Linked DNA regions of Rhinolophus ferrumequinum. The protein of the gene in region 3 interacts with the protein of the main gene of each other region in a biochemical or structural test. Links are inferred from orthologs where the notes say so. Each region holds a gene or a part of one and is shown on either strand. Other genes may lie near its edges. The genes, in order: AGO1, AGO2 and TNRC6B.

Region 1 (7,215 bases), on a different chromosome or scaffold from region 3:
GGGAAAACAAGAGAGCCCCCATGCTTCCTCATCCCAAAACTAGGGAAGGCAGGAGGAAGGGGGAAGCTCTCTCCAATTCCATCCCTCCGCAAGCCTTACAGCTGTAGAAAGTGCCCCAGCCCCCAGCTTTTAGTCTGAGAAAGGGAGACACTTCCCTTCAGACCCAGACAGGGACAGACGGCCACTTTGTGATGCAGATGAGGGCCCCAGCACAGAGGACAAAGCTTGGGCCTTGGGGGAAAGGGGCGGGGCCCTTCCTTACAGACAAAAGCAAGGAGGGAGGGGCCGTGAAAAGGACACTCCCCCTCCCCCATCCCAACCAGCCCTGAGAAGGAAAAGTAACAGAGCTGAAATGCCTGGCTCAGGGATTCTTTCCCTGCAGTTTCTGAGGCCCACAAAACTCCCAAGGAGCCAGACAGCCTATTCAAAAGACAAACTCAAGGCTAGGTTAGCTGTCAGTAAGCAAAGACTAAGAGGCCAATCTCTCCAAAAAGAATTTGTCCACACATAAGTATACGCAAATTATTAAATATTCACATACGTGCTTAACCATTTATGTCACTCTGGACTGGACTCAGTTCAGTTAATAAACATGTACTTTGTGTCAGGACCTACACATGTGCTGGTTTCACAGATAAATTAGACACTACCTGTACCTTCAGGGAGCTACCAGTCTAGTATGTGTTTGGAACACACCTGAGCACAGAAGGCACACTTGGACTTAGGCCCAGTGAAGCCAGCAACAATACCTTAGTTTTGTGTATTGTGTCCTCCAACTTCCAAGAGACTAGTCTGGGCCTAAGAAGGACGCACTTATGTGGGTACCTCTATTGATAGCTTCCAAAATGAATTTCAGTTACATCATTTGATGAAGCAAAGCCTGCCCCACGAGGCTACAGCCAACTCCAGATACCAAGCTCTAGTCCCTTCCCTAGAAGCTTATTTATTGGAAGAAACAGTTTTTTCATCACTCCAGAGCCCATTAGGAATTCATCAGAATAAAATCATTAGCAGTCTGGCATGGGTGTCAACTCCCAGCAATCTATCTGGACCTGTGACCTACTCCTACTCTAGTCCACAGGTTGTTGCAAAGTCTCCAGCCTAGAAAACCAGGAGAGTTCCTGGAATGGAGAAAGGGGCCTGAGGGAAGGAGGAAGTAGTTTTCTGAAGTCTGTTGCTCCCTGCACTCCACCTTAAGACCTATACAGCCTTTCCAAGGTTGTTTTCTCTTGGAGGAAAGTACTTACAGATCTCTGAATGGATGACTTGAATGAGTTGGTAGGAGCTAGTGCCTTGAGGGGATTAGATCTGGTATAAAAGACAAAGATTCTTCCACCAGAAATGAAATTCAAGTCCCCAAAGGAAACCCTACTCCCACCCCCAGATCAAATGGTAGGAGCTGGTGAGATACGACCTAAAGGAGTCCCAGGTCCAGAATGCTCCTCCCATCAAAGGACAGGACACAGGTGGTGCCACCATCCCACAGCCCATTCTGGAGACTCCAGTCTTCGTGGGGCAGTCCAGCCTCAGTTTCTCCTGTTTTTATCTCCTTTTCTCCTGATTGCCCATGAACAAGGAGAAAGTAAGGCTATCATCACCTGAACTCACCAGGGTGAAGGTTATAAACCCCTCCTCCCCCAAACAACTGATAGATGACAAAGGGCTAGCTTGGCAATCTTAGGTCAAATGACATGGCCCTGACAGTTTCTGGGGATTAGAGAGAGGAAAAAGATATCCAGTGGGAGATAGGAGCAATAAAAGTGTTAAGGTATAGAATGAGATTAGGCTGTCACCTCAGGAGATATTTCAATGGAAAGGTCATTATCCTTTGATTAAATGATCCCATCTCTACTCGCTATTAGACCAGGCAGACAACCTCTTCCAGGTAAACCAGGGCCTGCCTGGCCTTGGTCCCTCAGTAATCAATACCTTTCCTAAGGCCTATCTTTAGGGAGGCCCCGCCCCAAGAACACTGCCTTGTCTTTCCTTGTCCCAGTGGCAGAATAAGGCACTTTGGCAGTTTCCCTCAACTCATTCTTGGCAAATTGTGACTGAGGGTTTTGCCAAGGGTTAAGAAGCCCCAAGATGAGGAAGGGGACCATTTCCATTTGCGCTCTGCCAGCATAACCTTAGAGAGAATGCACCCCCATCGGCGCGCTCTTATTTCCAAGCCAAATCGCGCGGGGTGGGGAGTTGGGGAGATTCGGGCAGCCACGCCCCCACCACATAGGGCTGCCCCTTCCAGCTGCCACCTCCGCGCATGCTCCAGCGCCTCTGCTCCAGCTCCCCGGACTCACCGGGTGGAATCCCAGGGCTGGATCCCCACCCACCGCCCCCTGACCCTCGCCCCCGCGTCAGGCCCGGCTGGGGCGGAGCTCACAGTCCAGCTCTGGCGCCTTCTCCCAAGAGACACTAACCCAGCCCAGACCGGCTGAGCCCCCGCCCCCGGCATGCGGCAGTTCTGGGCCCATCTGTGTCGACCCCCTCCTCTCCTGGACACCTGGAGCCCGCCCCGTGCCACCTGCCGGGCCTCTCCCTAGGCCTCCAGGGACCTCCGGGAGTCCTTACGTGCGTTCAGGCCCTTCTCCCAGATTACTTCCCACCTCCAGGAGTGCATAGTGCCTCCTTTGATAAACGGCCCCGATCTCAGGGCTCCCTTCACCAGGTTTCCCCCGGAACTGCACACAGCCCCCTTCAAACTGGGCCCCCCATCCCACAAGAGCCCCTCTCCTCACTCAAGAAACCTTCCCTGACTCGGATTTACTGCTCTGCACGCGGGAGTCCCTTGGTCCTTTGGAGCACGCACCGTCCCCCCTTCCCGGGGGCCCTTACCTGCTCCCGAGGGTCCCGCTTCCATCCCATATACCCGTGCGGAGGTCAGGCGGCCGGGAGACTGTGGAGTCCAGCGTGAGGGGCCTAGGTACCCTGCACTCTAGCTGCTCGGGCTCCCGGGCCGGGCTCGGCTCCCCCCCGAAGCCCGGCCGCTCGCGCCGCCACCCCCACAGCCTCCGTTGCCGCCGCCGCCGCGGAGCCTGCAGCAGCTCCCCCTGCGAGCGCCCGGCCAGCTGCCAGTGCGCAGGCGCGACCGCCAGGCCCAGGGGGCGGACGGGAACGAGTCAAGCGGGGCGCTCCGACGGCAACAAAGGCCAATGGAGAGGGGCGGGGGCACCCGGGACCGAGGCAGCGGCCCCTGGCGGTCACCCGTCGCCATGCAGCCCGGCCGGAGGGCTTGGGTAGAGGCGCAGCGGAACCGCGCAGTGGCGTAAGTGGCGCAGGGCGGGGGGACACCCCCCGCAGCAGCCTCCGGCCCTGTCTTTCACCCAAACAGCTCCCTCCCAGCCTACACAGAGCCTCCCCGCTTTGCACAGAGCCACGCGCACATTACAGGAACCCTACTTCATTCCAAGGCCCGCTTCACATTCTCCGTGCAACCCATCACCCCGCGGCTCTGCCTACCACCTCGCCTCCCCATTTCTTTCATCCTTCACCCCTTGGCTGCAAAGCTACTGCCTCCCTGAAGCCTTTTTCCGTCCCTAGTCACTGAATTCACTGATGCCATCCTCATTTCCAGGCCGAGTGCTGGGCACAGAGACCACAGATAATGAAAGAGACCTGCTTACTACCCTGGACGATGTCACAGTTTCAACTTGACTGCAGCTACAGAGTTCTGTCTGTGGGACCTGGCAAGCACCGGTCTCCACTTTCTCATCTACAGCTCACGCCTGAACTCAATCTGCGTGTCCTCGCCACTTCACTTAAAAGACTTTTTGTGTCAAAATTCAAAGGATAATTTTCAATTCTTATTTCTCTGCAACATCTGACACTGTGTCTCTCCTTCTTTTTTGAGCCCTCTACTTGGCTTCAGTATTTTCTGAGATTTCCTATTATTGCTTACCTCCTTTTCGGTCTTAATCAAGAGCCCCCTTTTGCTTTTGCCCCCCTAAATAACAGTGTTCCCCATGGTTTCAAACCCAGCTCTCTTCTCATTCCACTCTCCACTTTCCCCTTGAAGGTCTCACCCATTCTTACGGCTCAACTATCCTTCCAAATCTCTATTTCCAGCCAAGTCTCAGACTCATATTTCCAAGTGTCTGCTGGACAGCTCCACCTGGATATCCTACCAGTACTTCAAATTTAGAGTCCAAAACCAAACTCTTTATCTTTACCCCACAAACATGCTTGTCCTATGCTTCTTGTCTCTGCAAATGGCACCTTCATCCCAGAAATGAAGTTTCTCTCCCTTGCTTCTTCCCCCTATTCAGCTTTTCACCAAGTCCTGACATGTTTACCTCCTAAACTACTCTTACATGATCCCCTGCCATTCTGATGGTTCCTTGTGATAGTACAGACCCTTATTACACCTTGCCAAAAGTATCACACCACTTCCTCGCTAGTCTCACAGGTTCTGGGAAGAGTCCTCCCATTCGGTCTGCTGCAGTTGATACTTGGTAAGAAACCCAGTTCAAACATCACTTTCCCTTATATTTATTCATATGTATTCATCCATATGTATTTTTTTATGCCTACTTTACACTAGATGCTGCGCTGAGGGCAAGGAACTTAAGAGACAGATCTCACACACCCAGTCCCTACCCATAGAGAGATTAATTTCTGACACTCATCATAGTATGCCTTGCTTCTCTCTAACAGAGGTTCTCAAACAGCAGGCATTAGAATAACCTGGAGAACCTGTTACAACACTGATTGCAGAGCCCCAGTTCCAGAGCTTGTGATTCAGTAGGTCTTGGGTGGGACCCAAGAACGTGCATTTCTAATAAGTTTCCAGGTGAGGCTGAAGCTGCCAATCTGGGTACCACACTTTGAGAACCACTGCTGTACAGGATAAAGTTAAAAACAAAGACTCTTGAGCCAAACTGTTTGGGTTTCAATCCAGGTGCTACCATTCACAAGCTGTGTAACACTAGGAAAATAACTTATCTGTGTCTCAGTTTCCTTCTCCCTCATTTCCTTCCACCTCATTGGGCTGTTGTTAATACATATAAAGACCTCAGAACAGTGCATAGAAGAATGCAGGCAAAGTGTCAGCTGCTATCATACTGTACCATGTTTCCCTGAAAATAAGACCTAGCCAGACAATCAGCTCTAATGCATCTTTTGGAGCAACAATTAATATAAGACCGGTATTATATTATATTATACCTGGTATATTTATATTATATTATATTATATTATATTATATTATATTATATTATACCCGTTCTTATATTCTAGTAAAATAAGACAGGGTCTTACATTAATTTTTGCTCCAAAAGACGCATTAGAGCTGATTGTCCGGCTAGGTCGTATTTTCGGGGAAACACAGTAATTATTGGCTGCTTCTTGCACTATAGTCTAAGTTCTTTAACAACAGGGACCACATCAGATGCATTTCTGTCACCCTTTAGTGGCTGGCACAAGCTGTGCCTAGAATGATCAGTAAATCTGGATTGATTTGAATCAAATAGATGGCATCAAAACATCCCCAGAAATAGCCAAGACCTTTACCTTGGTATAACTAAGCTGGAAGCTCAGCATTCCATGAGAGTTTGAATCCCCTGTTCTAAATACCAAGCCTCACACTCAACTTTGTGGAAAGCCGTTGGTCACTATTCTGACCCAGGTCCAAAGTGGCTAGCAGAGTCAAGCCGGGCCCTGGGCTCTCCGGGTCTCTCTGCAGTGTCTCCATCATCAGGGATTTTACTCTTGGCTAGGCAAAGTGGTAGAATATAAGGGAAATCCAGATAGCATTTTGCTGTTTTATGCTGAGAAATTCTTCCAGTAACTGTTGATAGCTTTTCTTCCAGAAAGCTATTGGTTGCCTCTGTTTCCAGTTCCATTCTTGCATCTCAGTCCATAGCTAACTCACACCCTAGGGCATCTGCTGAGTGGGCCAGAGCCCAGGTCCTTCCACTTTTATACCTTCTCTATACCCAGAGTTTCCTGGTCCCAAAACAACAAGTATGGCCTGAAGAAAAATCTGCATCTCAATCTATATTTTCCTTTCCTTAATATTTAAAAAACAGCCTGGGAACAATAAAATCAAGGTGGTATAATAGACATAAAACAAAATGTATACCCTACTATCAGGAAATGAATCACCAACAGCTCTTGCATGCACCACCTCTTTCTATCTATAACAAAATACATCTTTTAATGTATTTCAGAAGATAATTTTAAAAATCAGAAATCATGAACAATGGAATTAATAAATGTCAGCTAGTACTTTGTAAAGACTTGTGAAATTGGTAGACATTTTTAAATCACTTTTTTAAATTGAAGTATAATTGACACAATAAACTGCACTTATATAGTGTACAATGTAATTAATTCTACCATATGTATCAACTTATGAAACATCACCACAATTGAGACATTGAACATATTTATCACTCCTAAATTTTAAAACTCATCACAGAGATTTAATTTAAATTACATATATATTTTTACTTTAAAAAATGCAAAGCAAGGACTCAAAAGCAAGAGTTGAGCAACAATTAAGGAAGACGCTGAGAAAGTTATCAAAAATAACCAAAGAACACCAGGCTCAGGAGTTTCACTGTTTAATATTTCCAAACATTCTTGAAAGAGTTAATCCTGTTCCACGTTATTTGAATGGTTTTAGAACATGGGGAAAAGGGGAATTTTCCTAATTTGTTCAGAATAGCAGATAAAGATCCTCATCTCTTATCAGATGATGATATTATAAAAAGAATTCTCAGGAATGTGGATGCAAACATCACAAGTCAAATGTTAGCATATAGAATTCTATAACAGATTAATTAAAATTATGATAATAATAATAAATGAAGACATAGATATGACTGTGCCACATCACCTGGGGCCCAAAAGAGTTAGCAGAACCTGCAATTCAGTCAAAAATGAGATTTCCTAAGACTAACAAATAAATAAGATCAGACATTAAAAAAAAAAAAGCGATAGAGACACAGAGAGGATAAGTAACTTGCCCAAGATCAAGATAACACAGCTTGCAACTAGCAGAGGCAGAACTTGAATCCAGGCTCGATGGCTTCAGTATCAACATTCTTAACCACAACACTATATGACATTATTATTAAAAGAATAGCATATCAACACAAGGGTAATTCAGGGATGGTTCAAAAATTAAAAAATCTTAATATAATATACAATATATGTGATTAATCAAAAATAAACAATTATCATAGATAAAAATATTTGATACATTTTAATATCCAG
Region 2 (7,526 bases), on a different chromosome or scaffold from region 3:
TGCTTCCTAAACAGGCTTTAGGAGTTGGGGCTTTTACTTTTTTTCCTTACACACTTATTTAACTTCTTCTTCAAGGTTTGTAACAGATCCAAGGGGACTCTGTACAACTACCCACCGCCCTCCGCACCAGGGCAGAGGCCATCTGCCGCGATGGCCCGCGTGCTCCACTAGTGGGAGATGGGTCCTATCTTCCCTGAGATAACCGAGGGTGGGGAGACGAAGTGGGGTGCAGGAGGAGTTAGAAACCACGATGGAAGCCGTTACTTCTCCAAGTCACCATCCTGCCTGGACCATTCTCCAAGGAGCCTCGGTGTCCCCAAGGTTACTTTGTAGCCTATCTGAGTGGAGTGGTGACCCCCAGGAGTCGAAACACAGTGAGACCAACGATGCCCTCACAGAAGGCATTTGCTCAGACACAGGCTAAGGTCATGAAAGGGTTAAATAAACAAAACGAAACTCATTGGTTCACCCAGGAAGGTTCACGGTCACTGGCGAATCCACCCACCCCAAACCACTAACTCTTTCGAACAGTTAAACAAAAGACGAATAGTAACATACCTAACCTGAGAGTCCAGATATTCACGCATGCGCTCGAGCAGTGACGATGGGCATAAGAGACCTACTGTGAACTCTATTTTAAAAATTAATTTACTGGGTAAGTCGCTTAGTAAGTGTATTAAAATTGGAAGTAGCAAAACTGTTTGTAATTTTTGTACAATCCAGATCGAATGTCTTCTCGTTATTCTAAATTAAGAAATATAATATTAAAAAGAGTTTCATTGAGGAGACTCTAGTCCAAAAATTAAAAGCCTTAGTGTGTAGAATAAAATCGTGTGCCACCACAGCCTTGTAATTACAGCTCACTCATACAGCTTGAAAGTTGGGTTCAGTCCCATCCTGCCATTATCTAAGAACTATCCAGACCCATTTATTTTCTCAGGCTCCGCTGGCCGGCTGCAGGGCACGCTGGTCTGTGCAGCACGGCCCTCTCCCACCATGCACAGCACGGAGGCCTGCACCACAGCAAGAGTCTTCCAAAAGCCCTCAGCGACCAGAAAAGGGAGCCAGGAGATGGACGGGACTAAAGCATTTAAAAAAAAAAATGAAACAGACGAGGAAATCTCATGATGCAGGTTATGCAGTAAGGTGAGCGGTGCCTCCAGAAGCTCCAGTTTCAACGATACCTGTGTGTACTCACACCCCACTCTAGTCCAGATGTAACAGGTATTTCTCACTGTGGGTCAAAGTCAAAAGACTGACAGCCACTACTCTCTGAGGACAGTGCACAGAGAGTCAGCTTGGGGATCAGACAGATCGTCCTAATGCTCGCTGGTCCTATGACCTTGGCAAGGTCTTAACCTCTCTGAGCCTCTGTCATGATGAACACCACCAACTTAGCAAGCTGTCCCGCAGATTCAATACCGTGAAACACAACACAAAAACTTGACCTTCCTCAAGGTTCTTCACTTTCTCCAGGCCTTCGACTTTTAAACCGAAAACCAGGAAACATGTCCAGTGGGGCAGCAAACACTTGCTGGGTCCTCTACAAGGATCATCTGGGAGAGGGGCGACCCGGCCAAGTCACAGATGGGGGTGGGGGGCACCGCCCAGAATCTCAAGAAGCCAAATATGCCCCAGGACAGTAACAGCAAGAGTCCAGGCCCATTCCCCACAAGGGCTGAGTCCCCTCCCAGGTGGAGGGTTAAAGTCATTCTTCAGTCAACTTGCTGAGTGCCCTTAAGAGTTTGTCAGGCTCAGCCTTGGAGAAGCTAAGTGACATCAGAAAAAAGACACTCAGAAGTCACAGACATAGATCTGTTTGTGAACAGACACACAGTGGGAGACAATGTCAAGGGACCCGAGCGGATCAAGAGGGGCTTCCAGACTGGAGATCTGGAGCAGGTCTGGAACAGGTGGGGCCAGGGCCCCATGGCAGGAGGCCGTCAAGGGCCCAGGCCTGGGACACACCTAGCACAGGGCCAGAGCCCCCTAGCATGGAGCCCGTGGGGCCTGCAGCTTGCTCCAGCCTGGCGGACAAAGGGGACAGGCAATACCCTGTGCAAGTGGCAGGGCCAGCGGGAAATTTAGAAGCCACGTGCCTGGCGGGAGGCAGCGATAAAGCTTTATAACACTGGACCATTTTCTTGGACGAGCAAGTCAATGGTCCTTCTAACTGTGCATTTAAAAAAGGTGGGGGCAATGTGTTACCGCTTTTAGCATTTTAAGTTTTTTAGAACTTCTCCAAAGGAAAAGGCTGACTAGTAAGAAGGGGTGCTAAGGAAATCAACACATCTCCTTACCTCTCCTAGCAAATTGGAAAAGGCAATTAGCACTTGAATAAGGGGCTGGCGTGTCTGGAATGAGACTGAGCCGCATGCAGTTTCAGGGTTCAGGGGACCGCTTCCTATCCCTCTCAGTTTACAATCCGAACTACCAACAGCAATTGGCCAAAATTCAGCATCTGCAGACTTTCCTTCAGAGAAGGGGCCGCAGAAGTGCTGGCAACAAGAAAAACGAAACTGAGTGCGCTCCAGCCTCGCCGCCTCCTCTCCCGCCGCCCGCGCCCCGCGCCCCGCGCCCCGCGCCCCGCGCCCCGCGCCCCGACCCGGGCCTGCGTCCTCGGCGCTCAGAGCCCGGCCTCCGCGCCCGACCCGGCGGCGCGGGGCCCACACGCGGGCCTCGGGCCTACACGCGCCCGCCCGGCCCTGGTCCCGGCCCGCGGGGCCCCAGGCGGCGACGGGGACGCGGGAGGCCCAGGCCGCGGGGGCGCCCCGACGACCCGGCCCGAGAAGGCCGGGCTGAGCGGCTGCGCCGGGATCGGGGAACGGCCGGCGGCTCCGGGCCCCGGTTCCCGGCCCCGAACCGCCGCCCGCCCGCCGCCCGGGCCCGGCCCGCGCCGCGCTCGCGCCCGCCCGCCAACCGCTCCCCGCGCCGCGCGCGAGGACTCACCGGTGCCGGCTCCCGAGTACATGGTGGCGCCGCCGAGGGGCTCCGGGGCCGAGGGGCGGCCGCGCGCGCGCCACGGGCCCCGACGCCGCGAGCCGCGAGGGAGCCGCCGGCCGCACGATCCGCCCCAGCGCGGCCGCCTGGCCAAACAGGTTTACCCGACGCGGCCCGGGCGGCGGGCGGAGGCGGCGGCGGCGGCGGGAGGGGGAGGGGAGGAGGGAGGGGGCGGGGCGGGGAGAGGGAGGGGCGAGGGAGGAGAGGGCGGGGGAGGAGGGAGGCGCGAGCGCAGGCGGGAGAAGGGAAGGGGAGCCGGGCGCGCGCGAGTCTGGGGGGCCCGGGCGGGGACCCCGCGGGGCGGTGGAAACTGGGGGCGGGCGGGGATCCAGGACCCGGCCTGGGGCGGGACCGGGACGGGGACGGGGGCGGCGCGGAGCGGGGGGGGGGGGGGGGGACCCCTCACAGCCACTCAGATGGGCGACGTGGCCTCTGCCGGGGCGGAGCAGGGCCAGCTCGGCGTCGCTGCCGGAGACCTGGGAGAAAGACGAGAAAACAGCCCTTGTTTCCCCGCCGCCTCCGGGCTCGTGGGGACCCCCTTCTGGTTGTTCGCGGGGTGTGGAGGGGGGCGCGCATGACCCTCTCCATCCTCACCCCACCCGGCCGGGTGCACTTGGGCACGGGTTGGGGGCCCAGCGTCTCAGCCTGGCCTTTTTTTTTTTTTTTTTTTTTTTTTAAGTTATTAACCAAACCTGAATGTCGGGAAGCTAGCTTCCCACCCGGAGTTTGAACTGGAACGCGTCCGGCCCTCGTACACGACCACACCGCCACCTCCCGGCCAAGAACCCAGAAAATCCATGTAAAAAAATTCTTACTAAGTTTCGGTAAATTTCAGATGCCGTCAACGACGCGATCAGACTAAAACTCCCCGGGCCAGCACTCAGGGGTCTCCCCAGGCTCTTCACACGGGTCCCCATCGTGCTCCTGCGTGCGTTTCTGTACCTGCCCCACCTGCGTCGGAACTCCTCCCTCGTACCCACATCCTCCGTCCTTCACGTCCCCCGGGGTCCAGCGGTATTTTGGAGCCTTTTCCAGGGCAGCCAACGGGAACCTCCTTTCTCCCCTAATCGTAGGTGAAACAGTGCAGAGGTGCTCATCACCTTGTAACATCCTTGCTCGCTCGCTTCTTCACTCTATAAACTTGTATCATCTGCTACTGGTTGCTAGGAGCGGCGTGTTCCTCCCGCGGAGGGTAACGTGGACGTGAACTGGAGTCCCGCTTGCAAGGAGGTCGGCATGCAATAGGTTCATCACCAGTTCTTCGGCAACCCTCAAGGATCTCCCTAAAGAAGGGCAGGAAAACCAGCATTTCCTCCAGAGAGAAACTTAAAGGGACATCAATCTTCAAATCATTGACATCAATCAGTCTTCCAGATGCCCATCCATCACTCTCTAATCCTCGGCCCACCATCTCCACCCTCACGGCGGACCAGGTGGTCTGGAGCACCTGAAAAGCCCCTGAAATCACTCTCCGCCATTACCCACTCTCCACCCAACAGTCTCTTGTGTGAACACACATCTGATCTTGTGCCTGCTTTGCTCCAAATCCTTCATTGGCTCCCCATTTCCGTACGCACGTGGTCCACACTCTCCATTTGGTTTCCAGTGCCCTGTGACACAGCCCTACCTGCTTTGCCAGAATCTTCTACTTCACCCCCTTCAGGTTCTTCCTCGAGTGTTACTGCGAGAGTGGGACTGAGTACAATCATTTTGAAGACCAGTGTCTGGCAGAGCTGACCACCGGGCCCCAGGTGGACAGGCTGCTGAATGTGCGACCCCGAGCACAGGACTGGGCACCACCCAGGTACTCAGCCGTGGAACAGGTCAGAGAGCCGTACATATTCATAAAGGTGAACCCAGTGAGAACGAACACCCTTCAGCTAAGTGTGACCCGCATCTCAGCAATGTTGGTGAAAGAAGCCACAGGCCACACTCCCTGCAGAATCCCAGTTATGAAGTTCCAAAGCAGGAGCCATGAAACCACATGGGTCAGGGATGCATAATTAAGTAATTAAGAGCTAAGGAAAAAGGAGGTGGTTACCATAAGAATCAGAATGGTGGGTACTGGTTGGCGGCAGGGGGTTGCTGTGACCAGAGGCCTTGGGGGATTTTGGGGTGCCGGGCACTCTCATTCCGGTACCACTACTGTTGGTTTGGCAAGTCTCCTAAGCTGTACATTTACTTTCTATATACTTTTCTGTACCTTTACTATAGTTCACAACCGAAACATTGTAACATACCAGACATGACTCCACTGTGTATGAACCATGACCCTCCGAGGTGTGTCTCTGTCTTACACACCCAGCACAGTGTCGCCTCCCCGAAATCCCCAATGACTCAGAGGCTTAAACGCTCTGCTGCTTCTGCTGTAACCTATGGCCTCTGGAAACCACCGGAAAACTGTTTCATCTCCTTCCCTCAGCGCCCTGCTTCTGGGAGAGCCCAGGCGGGTTTAAGTTTGTTGCCAGGGTTCCTTTGCAGGAGGTCTGGCAAGATAGTATCTCTCAGGCGTTTCTTTGTGTCACTGCCCCGCCGAGATTGACACGCGCGATCCCTGCTGGTGGAGGAGCGCTATTGCGGCCTGCCGGGCCCTCCAGACCCGTGAGCCCAGGATCTGGGTGGGGTTCTCCTGCCCCCCGCTGCTAGGACTGGGGTTCCCCTGTGCCCTCCTCTCCCAGACTTTACCCCCCACTGCCTGTGCTGAGGAATCCCACCCCTTTCCTGCCCCCGGCCCCGCAGCTCCAGGCCCACAAGCATCAAACCAAGTTCAGCAGCTCAGCCGTCCTCCCCACCTGCTCCTTCTCCTGTGCCCCCAGCAGAGCCAACACTCACCATCCACCGAAGAAACCCCAGGGCCTCTGCCTGCTACCTCTACCGCAATCCGTGAATCCATTTAACCCACTTACTCGAGTCCACTCAATTCTGGCTTAACATGGCTCTAGAACCGCATCCAACTGCCGCTGCCCGGTTTCGTCAGGCCTTCAACCAACACCTGGATGTTGGCCCCACAGGGCCGACTCACGGGTCTTCCGGGGCCCAGTCTCTCTCCCTGATACAGGGGTCCCTATGCTCTGCTAAGACTGCAGGGCCTAATCACTGCCAGGGTCCCCCATGCTGGTCAGCCCCGGTTTGCGCATTGGGTGCCGCGGTCTAGAGCAGTTCCGCGCGGGGAGGCCAAGCGCACAGCGCCCTCCTGCGGTCATCCCACCCACGACGCTCTCAACTCAAGAGGCCCTACGCTTCTTCACGACACTGGAATAATTCGATTGTTCCAAAAACATGTCTGCACGTGATAAAAGAGGAGTTAGAAGGTCCAATAAATTGGGAATCATTCAGTTAAACAACACCAAACGGATTTATTGACCGCCAGCCTTCACAGAGCCTTTAACAAAAGATTAAGAATCAGGATTCTACAAAGAGGAAGGAAGAGAAAAGACCCTATGCAGCCTGTCCCAAATCTATTCCGCGACAGAACCCGTTTATCCCAGGGCACCTTCGGGTTCCATGGAGCACACTTTGGGAAACACTGAGGTAGAAATCTATGATCTCTTGCAGCTCTAATGTTTAAAGATCGTTTGGATAAAAATATCAGCTGTCTGTCTGAATTGAAAACCCAAGAGTGTGGTTGTGGATTGACAAATACTTCCATCAAAGTAGGAACAGAGTCCACGTGGCAGCCATTTCTCCACACGGAAACCACTGAGTCTGAACGCAGATCACTTTGTCATTTTGTGCACCCAACAGAGGCAGGCGGTCAGGGCTGCCTCCTTGCACAGACCCCGAGGCCACTGACACCGCGGTCTGCAGAGGGTATCACTCACTGGGACACAGAACTGCAAGAGGGGCTCATCCAGCAGTGCTCCTGAGACACTGTCGGCTGGCTCCACGACGGTTCTTTCTTCTGTGTAGTAAGGAGAGAAGAACCAAGCTGTCACTAACGTGAGGACACTGAAAAACTGACTCTCAATGGAGGGAAGATTTAAATGTGAACATAAAACAGACAAAAAATCAGGAGAAAAATCTTTGGGATCTAGGGCTAGGCAAATAGTTCTTACACTTGACACCAAAAATCACAATCCGTAACAGGAAAAGTGGGTACACTGGACTTCATCAAAATTCAAGCTTTTGCTCTGTGAAAGGCCCGGTTAAAAGGGTCAAAAGATGAGCTATCGAGTGGGAGAAAATATTTGTATACCGCACATCTGACAAAGTATCTAGAATATATAAAGAACCCTCAAAACTCAACAGTAAAAAAACAAACTTCATTTAGAATAGGGGCAAAAGACCTGGAGAGAGATTTCACTAAAGAGGAGATACGGAGGGTAAGAGCTCAAATAGGTAACCTGAAAAACAAATAAGATGGAAAGATGTTCCACATCACTGACCATTAGGAAAATGCAAGTTCCAGCCACAGTAAGACAACAATACACACCCACTACAATGCCTAAAATAAAAACAGTGACAGCGTGTGCAAGATGCCACAAAGTCTTGCTTCTGCTATAACATCAAGGGTTGCAAACTCAAAT
Region 3 (7,213 bases):
TACTTTTGCTACCTCTTAGACCATTTCTTTCCAGTCCCTTTTGATGGACAGTCTTCCTCTGCTTGTCCTTTCATTACTGGTATGTTCCTCAAGAGTTCATCCTCCCCTTTCTCCATTTATTAGATATACATGTCCTTATCCTCTCCTATAGATTTAACTACTACCTGTATCTTGATGACTCCCAAATCTCTCCCCAGTGTTGACCTTTCCTACAATCTTCAAGGCCATCTATCTATACAACTGCCTTTGTATGGGGACATACGAATGTCAGGGGACTTCTCCACCTCATGTCCCACGGGTCCCCATAACATAACTAAAACTAAAATAACCTTCCCCCAAACTGTATCCTCCTTCTGTCTCACTTGGAAATATTATACTATCATCTCACTCAAAGAAAAATCTGGGGACCGGCCCGGTGGCTCAGGCAGTTAGAGCTCCATGCTCCTAACTCTGAAGACTGCCGGTTCGATTCCCACATGGGCCAGTGGGCTCTCGACCACAAGGTTGCCGGTTCGATTCCTCGAGTCCCACAAGGGATGGTGGGCTCCGCCCCCTGCAACTAAGATTGAACAGGGCACCTTGAGCTGAGCTGCCGCTGAGCTCCCGGATGGCTCCGTTGGTTGGAGCGTGGCCTCTCAACCACAAGGTTGCCGGTTCGACTCCTTCCAGCAGGATGGTGGGCTGCGCCCCCTGCAACTAGCAACTGGCAACTGGACCTGGAGCTGAGCTGCGCCCTCCACAACTAAGATTGAAAGGACAACAACTTGACTTGGAAAAAAAAAAAAAAAAGTCCTGGAAGTACACACTGTTCCCCAATAAAAGTCCTGTTCCCCTTCCCCAATAAAATCTTTAAAAAAAAAAAAAAGAAAAGAAAAATCTGGGACCATGACCAGCATCATCTTCTCACCAAACTCTATCAATTCTAATCCCCACATATTTCCGTGTGTATTTTCTTCCCCGTTCCTACTGCCATGGCCTTAGTTTTGCAATAGTTTCTCATCAGATTTATTCCAACTGTTTTTTAAATTGTTTTCTTACCCTCAAGACCAACCCCACCTCCGCTGCCATGAGAATCACCTTTACAAAGTGCAAACCCACACTGCCCTTGCAATGTCTCTCATCCATCTTCGAGAGAAAGTCCCATTCCCACTGTGTGGTCTACAAGGCCCCGTACCAGTTCACCTCTCGGCTTCATCTCACAAAACCACACTGCTGTCAGTGTCCCTTAAGCACCGCATGGTTTCACGTGCCTCTGACCCTGTACATGCCATTTCCACCTGGACTGTCTTCCCACTCACAAGGCAAATTCTTTTTCAACCTTCAAGATGCAGGCATAGAGAAACCTTTTCTAGGAAGTCTTTCTTGATTCCTCTCTCTTGCTACAGGATGGGTCCTTCCTCTGAGTTAGCAACTGTGCTTGGCACATATTTCCACGAGGCTTGTGTACGCTGTGTATACTACTAGGTTATTAGCTTCCTGAAGACAGGCTCTGAGCCTGATTTATCACTGTATCACCATCATTTAAAACAGTGCTAGTGCAAAGGACATCCCCATAAACTCTTATGGAATAAAAACACACTTTGGGGGAAAAAATAAAGTAAACTCAATGCAATAGTCTTGGTTTATTCAAATAAGGACACTGCTTATAAGTTATAACTGTATGTCCAGGGCTACAGTACAGACTCCATTCATTCATTCATTCATTCATTCATTCATTCATTCATTCAGTGAATGAGCCACCTACCAGGTACCATGCTCTGTTCTAGAACACCATGGTAAAGTAATGCCAGGATCTCAGGCCAGTGTGGTATTTGCGTGAGACCCTCAGACTTCCAGGGAGAGCCTGTGCGCAAACTTTGGAACTAATAGCAGGATCCTGGCATAAAGATGTTAAATTTATTTTTACATCTTCTTAGCAAGGGTTGCCTGAGAAAAACAAACTCAGTCTGAAGCGGGGTGAAGACAAAGGCAAGTGCCTCACCTTCAGCTACTAACCCAGTTTGGTCAATTAATTAATGCTCTCTAGCTTAGTCCAGGACAATTTGCCAATTCTTTACCAGAAAGGCACGCTACCTTCTGAAGACTAAACCAACTGCTAGTCACTTGGCGGTAGGGGCGGGGATGGCAGGGACTAGCCGTAATAAGAAGGGCAGAAGCAGCTACTCAACAGCTTTGCTGAACGCTTACTAAGCGCCCAGCACTACGCTCGGCCTATGGCCATCAACAAGAGCCTGTGGCCAGGTTTTACTGCCATTGTTGGACACATAAAAATTAAATAGATTAACACGCTCAGCTTTTATAGCCAATTATTGATGATCTATGATCAAAAACCCTTTATTCTTTTTCCATATTGTATATTAATTTAATGAGTTTTTTTTAATCAAATAGCTATTTCTACTAAGGTTCACAAAATTTTAACTGCGTCTCGGTTCTACAATAAACCAGTGAGTTTGGGAAATTTTAATATTGATATTGAAAATAATAATACGAATAACCATTACCAACTGTTTATGCTGTGCTCAGCAGTATATATCATGAACGTCTCAAAAACCTCTCACTTAAGATATCCCTGTCCTCAGAGGTCTTACACTACTGATAAGGAGGAGAAAACTAGCACGCCAAACAATTCCACAAAAACCAAGCATGAAGCTGTGCGGCACAGAAATTTAGAGAACACAGAGAAAAAGTGGGCTAGACAAGCTATGCAGCCCTCAGAGAGAAACTGGGATTCCAACTGGAACTGACAGCGGTTAACGCAATGATTCTCAAACTTTTTGGTCTCAGGACTGCTTCAGAATTTTAAAAATTACTGAGAACCCCAAAGAGCTTTTGTTCATGTGGATTAATTGTCAGTATTTACCACATTAAAAATTAAACTATGAAAATTTAAAAATATTTATTCGTAACTATTCATTTAAAAATATTAAACAATTACATGTTAAACATTTTTAAATTAAAAATATTTTAAAGGATAAAAATTTTGAGAAAAGTGCCACTGTTTACATTTTTGCAGATATCTTTACTACCTGGCTTAAGAGACAACAGCTGGCCCCTAGGATCTGCTTCTGCATTCAATCCTTTGCGTCTCACATGTCACGTAGCCTCTGGAAAACTCCACTGCACAATCATGAGAGAATGAGTTAAAAGGCTTATCATCTTAGTACTAATAAAACAGTTGTGACTTCACACACCCCCTGAAAGGGTCTGGATTGGGGAACGGGGAGGGATCCCCAGACCAAATTTTGGCTAATTATTAATTTTAAAAGAGAAAGAAAATGGGTTCTGTGATCTAATAAGCAAGGGCTGGGCAGGAAGGAAGTGTGTGGTTCGAAAGCCATTAACTTCCACGTACGCAACTCTTACTCCTAACATTTTGGAGCTACAATCTAGCTCACCTCCATTGTGAATCTCAGAGAGACAAACGGCAGGGCAAGGTGGGGTTCTGGTGACAGCGGGACAAGGAGCCTCTCCCTCAGCAAGTCCCCCAGCAACATTCCCTGAAGGCCACGTCAGGGTTTCCTCTGTGGCGCCTACACTGTGCTCTCCTCCTAGAAGCTGTAAATGGCTCACGAGAAACTGCCTCGCATGGCTTCCCGAGGCTGTGTTTACTGAGTGAAAAATCATCTCACTGCTACCAGCTCCAATACGGGAGACATTTCTTGGTCTGGCTGTCGTAAAAAGCAGATTTAACATCAGCCACGTAGCCAGGTTTTTCCTGCCAATAATCATGGGAGTCTGCTCCCCCGTTCCCGGGCATCTTGTGCACTTGTAAAAACAGTTCCTGCAGCTTCATATGTCACGGATCTAGTTGCCATAAAATGAAAACATTTTCTTCATATTTTGTGGCACAAACTAAAAGCATTCTGGATGTGGTTTGCATACAGTCCATCTCTGGCCAAAAGGGAGGTTTAATTATGTGGACAGACAGAGAAAGGGAGGTGGCTATACCCATGGTTAAACTGTTTTTATCATCAAAGTCAATGTTTGATAATGGATGTTTTTAATTTAAAATTTTACCATGATTAATTCTCTAAAATTAATATGCAATAAGCACAATTGTTCATTTTATGCAGCAAGTTTTCACTTGTCTTAACAATATTTTATAGTTGAGAAAAGCAGATGAAACAGAAGCTTCTTTTTTGATCTCTTAAATTAAAAAAAAACAGAAAAAAGCATGACTCTATATAGTTTTTCAGTTGTTTTTTTTTTGTTTTTTGTAGTAAACATATTTATTAAGGCCCCTTTACAGAACAGACCATTCTGAAGTCAAAGTGAAACTAAAACTCTGAAAGATTTCTGCTCTGGGAATGGTAAACTAGGTAATTCAGACCAACTAATGCTGAGGACAATCAGAAAATCTGGACAAAATGTAAAAAGTATTTTGAAGGCAGAGGAGTACTAACAAGTTAATTAGGAATTAACATATACAAAAATCAATTTCAGGTGAACTACACACCCAAATGTGAAAGATAAATAATAAAGCTTTTTGAAGATAACACAGGAGTAGGGAGGGCTCTCTTACACAGGACACAAAAAGTACCTATTACTAAAAAATAAATATGACTATATGAAAATTCAGAATTTTTGTTCATCAAAAGACATAAGAAAGTGAGAAAGTAGAACACATAAAACCAATAAAGGGCTCATATTCGAAATAACAGAGAGTTCTAAAAGTTAAAAACAAAAGACATAACTCAATAGGAAAATGGGGAAGAGATTAGATGAGGCACATTACCAAACAAACAAACAAACAAAAAAACTACACAATCTAAATGGCCAATAAACATCCGAAAAAATGTCAAGCCTCAATAGTAAGTGAGAAAGTACAAAAGAAAATACAAAAGAAAATCATGATGATGCCAGAATAGCTACAAATTTTAGCTGACATGGTAGTCTGCTACCATGTTTCCCTGAAAATAAGACCAGGTCTTACATTAATTTTTGTTACAAAAGATGCATTAGGGCGTATTTTCAGGGGACGTCTTAGTTTTTCAGATACAACAGTCTACATTTATCCAAATACAGTCACGTCATCTTCTTCTGGAACATCGTCAGAACATACTAAATGCATCCATCTGGCTGACAATCTTAACTGGGGCTTATTTTTGAGGTAGGTCTTATTTTCAGGGAAACACGGTAATAACAAATATTGCTGAGGATACGGAACAGAAGGAACTCTGATACTCCACTTGTGTGAGTGTGAGTTGTTATATCCACTTTGGAATACAGTTTGGCATTATTCTTCTAAAGTTAAAGACAAACACACTTCATGATCCAGCAATGACACTCCCAGCTTTATACCCTGCAGAATTCATGGACATGTGCACCAAAAGACATGTATAAAAATATTCAGAGCAGCACCATTCACAATAGTTTCTAACTGGGAACAACCCAAGTATTCTCAATAGTGAAACAGATAAATATGCATTCTGGCATATTCATAAAATGGAATACCATACAGCACCGAAAATGAAGCAGCAGCCCACAACAACATGGGTGAATCTCGCAAACATAATGACCAGATACAAAAAAATTCATAGCATGTGACTCTGTGTTCAGAATCAGCCCGAACTATAATGTTTAGAGGTACACATGAGTAGTAAAAGTAGAAAGAAAAGAAAGAAATCAGAAGAGCAGTTACTTGTAGGTGGGAAGGCAGGGGTAATGACTAGCAAAGGTCACTAAAAAGGGGCTACAGTGTCCCAGCAATGTCCTATTTCTTGACCTGAGAGGTAGTTTTTTAAAACGATTCATTAAGTTTTACATTTGCATTTTATGTACTTTTCTGGTTCTGTGATATATTTCACAATAAAGAAGAATGAAAGCAAGAAAAAGAAAATAATTACTAAGAAAACTGGTATCTTTGGTATAACATTAAAAATGAGATCACAGGACCAAGCTCCTTAGACGGCATCTGGCCCTTCATTGTCCAGTCCGATCTTTCTAGTCTCATCTCTTGCCACCCACCATTCTTCACAAGTAGTCTGCCATACTTGCTCTCAACCTGTGCTTCCTTTTTACCTTAACTCATGATATTTCTCTGTCTAAAAAACCATGTAGACATATCCCAATCTCCTGCCAGACTAAGTACAAACTGTCACTCAAGACACAGGCTGGATGTCATCTCCTGTGAGAAACTTCTTCAGGAGACACAGAGTCTAGAGGCACATTGCTTGGTTCAAATTCCAGACCTGCCATTTACTGGTAAGGTGACCTTGGTCAACTTACCAACCTTAGTTTTGTAACTTCTTCATCTGTAAAATAGGATAAAAATATGACCTGCCTCACTGGGTGGTTGTGAAGATGAAATGGAGAAGTGTATGCAAAGTGCTCGGAACATGCCTGGGAGAGAGTAAGCACTAGGCATTAGCTATTATTACTAACTAGGTGTTAGCTAATATTATTATCAATAACACACTGGTAATGTCCTGCCTACCCCCACAGCCCCTCCCCCATACCTACTCTTGCTCTGGGTTCCCACGGCTCCGTAACATAGGGTATGTGCTTGTATACAGCTCTTACGGATAACTTCTGGAGAGTTAAATCTTTCACATCTCAACCCCCATCATCCATCATAGAGCCGGGCACGTACTAGGTGCTCCATGAGTATCTGTGCATGAATAAACTACAGAGACTCCAGATGTGGGTCTGTATCACATAGAAGAGTAGTCCCTGATGTTGCCCTATCCTGTGTGTACCGTAGACCACAAACTGGACGTACAGTCTGGATGAGGCTCCTGCAGCAATGACCTCAGAATATAGGTGGAGACTCCCTCTGAGAACAACAGATGAGGGACAAATAATAGTACTTGTCCTACCTACAGTTGTGAGACTATTGTGTGAGGCTCGAATAATGACTATGAAAATATATTGTTAAGTGTGAATCTTTACTATATGAGGTTTCATTACCTTAAAAACACCAGGATTATTGTTGAATTGCAAGTCTGTAAAGGCCTTTAAGGGACCATAAAGAATTAATATAATGTAAAAATGCAATCTGATATGGTCTAAGATAAAATTTTAACTTGGGGGTTAAAATATTTTGCAATGAAATTTCCCGATTTTCTCATTTGGTTATTAATTATTTATGTAATATTAAAACAAACATTTGTGTATGTGAATATTCACAGCAGCAATTATTCATAATAGCCCGAAGTGGAAACAATCCAAATGTCCATCAACTGGTGAATAGATAACCAAAACCATGGTACAT

Evidence for each region.
Region 1: the proteins of TNRC6B (region 3) and AGO1 form a complex in vitro, tested with the Homo sapiens proteins (2 studies listed by BioGRID and IntAct). The link is inferred for Rhinolophus ferrumequinum from reciprocal best matches to the Homo sapiens genes TNRC6B and AGO1.
Region 2: the proteins of TNRC6B (region 3) and AGO2 form a complex in vitro, tested with the Homo sapiens proteins (3 studies listed by BioGRID and IntAct, with this or other methods). The link is inferred for Rhinolophus ferrumequinum from reciprocal best matches to the Homo sapiens genes TNRC6B and AGO2.

What each region holds. Positions count from the first base shown.
Region 1 is NC_046292.1:24,903,527-24,910,741, reverse strand, and holds the start of AGO1 (protein argonaute-1), read right to left. Parts: upstream 3,074-7,215; 5' UTR 2,858-3,073; coding exon 2,833-2,857; intron 1-2,832.
Region 2 is NC_046297.1:71,130,414-71,137,939, forward strand, and holds the start of AGO2 (protein argonaute-2), read right to left. Parts: upstream 3,065-7,526; 5' UTR 2,972-3,064; coding exon 2,950-2,971; intron 1-2,949.
Region 3 is NC_046293.1:7,522,778-7,529,990, forward strand, and holds the start of TNRC6B (trinucleotide repeat-containing gene 6B protein), read right to left. Parts: upstream 3,085-7,213; 5' UTR 3,072-3,084; coding exon 3,027-3,071; intron 1-3,026.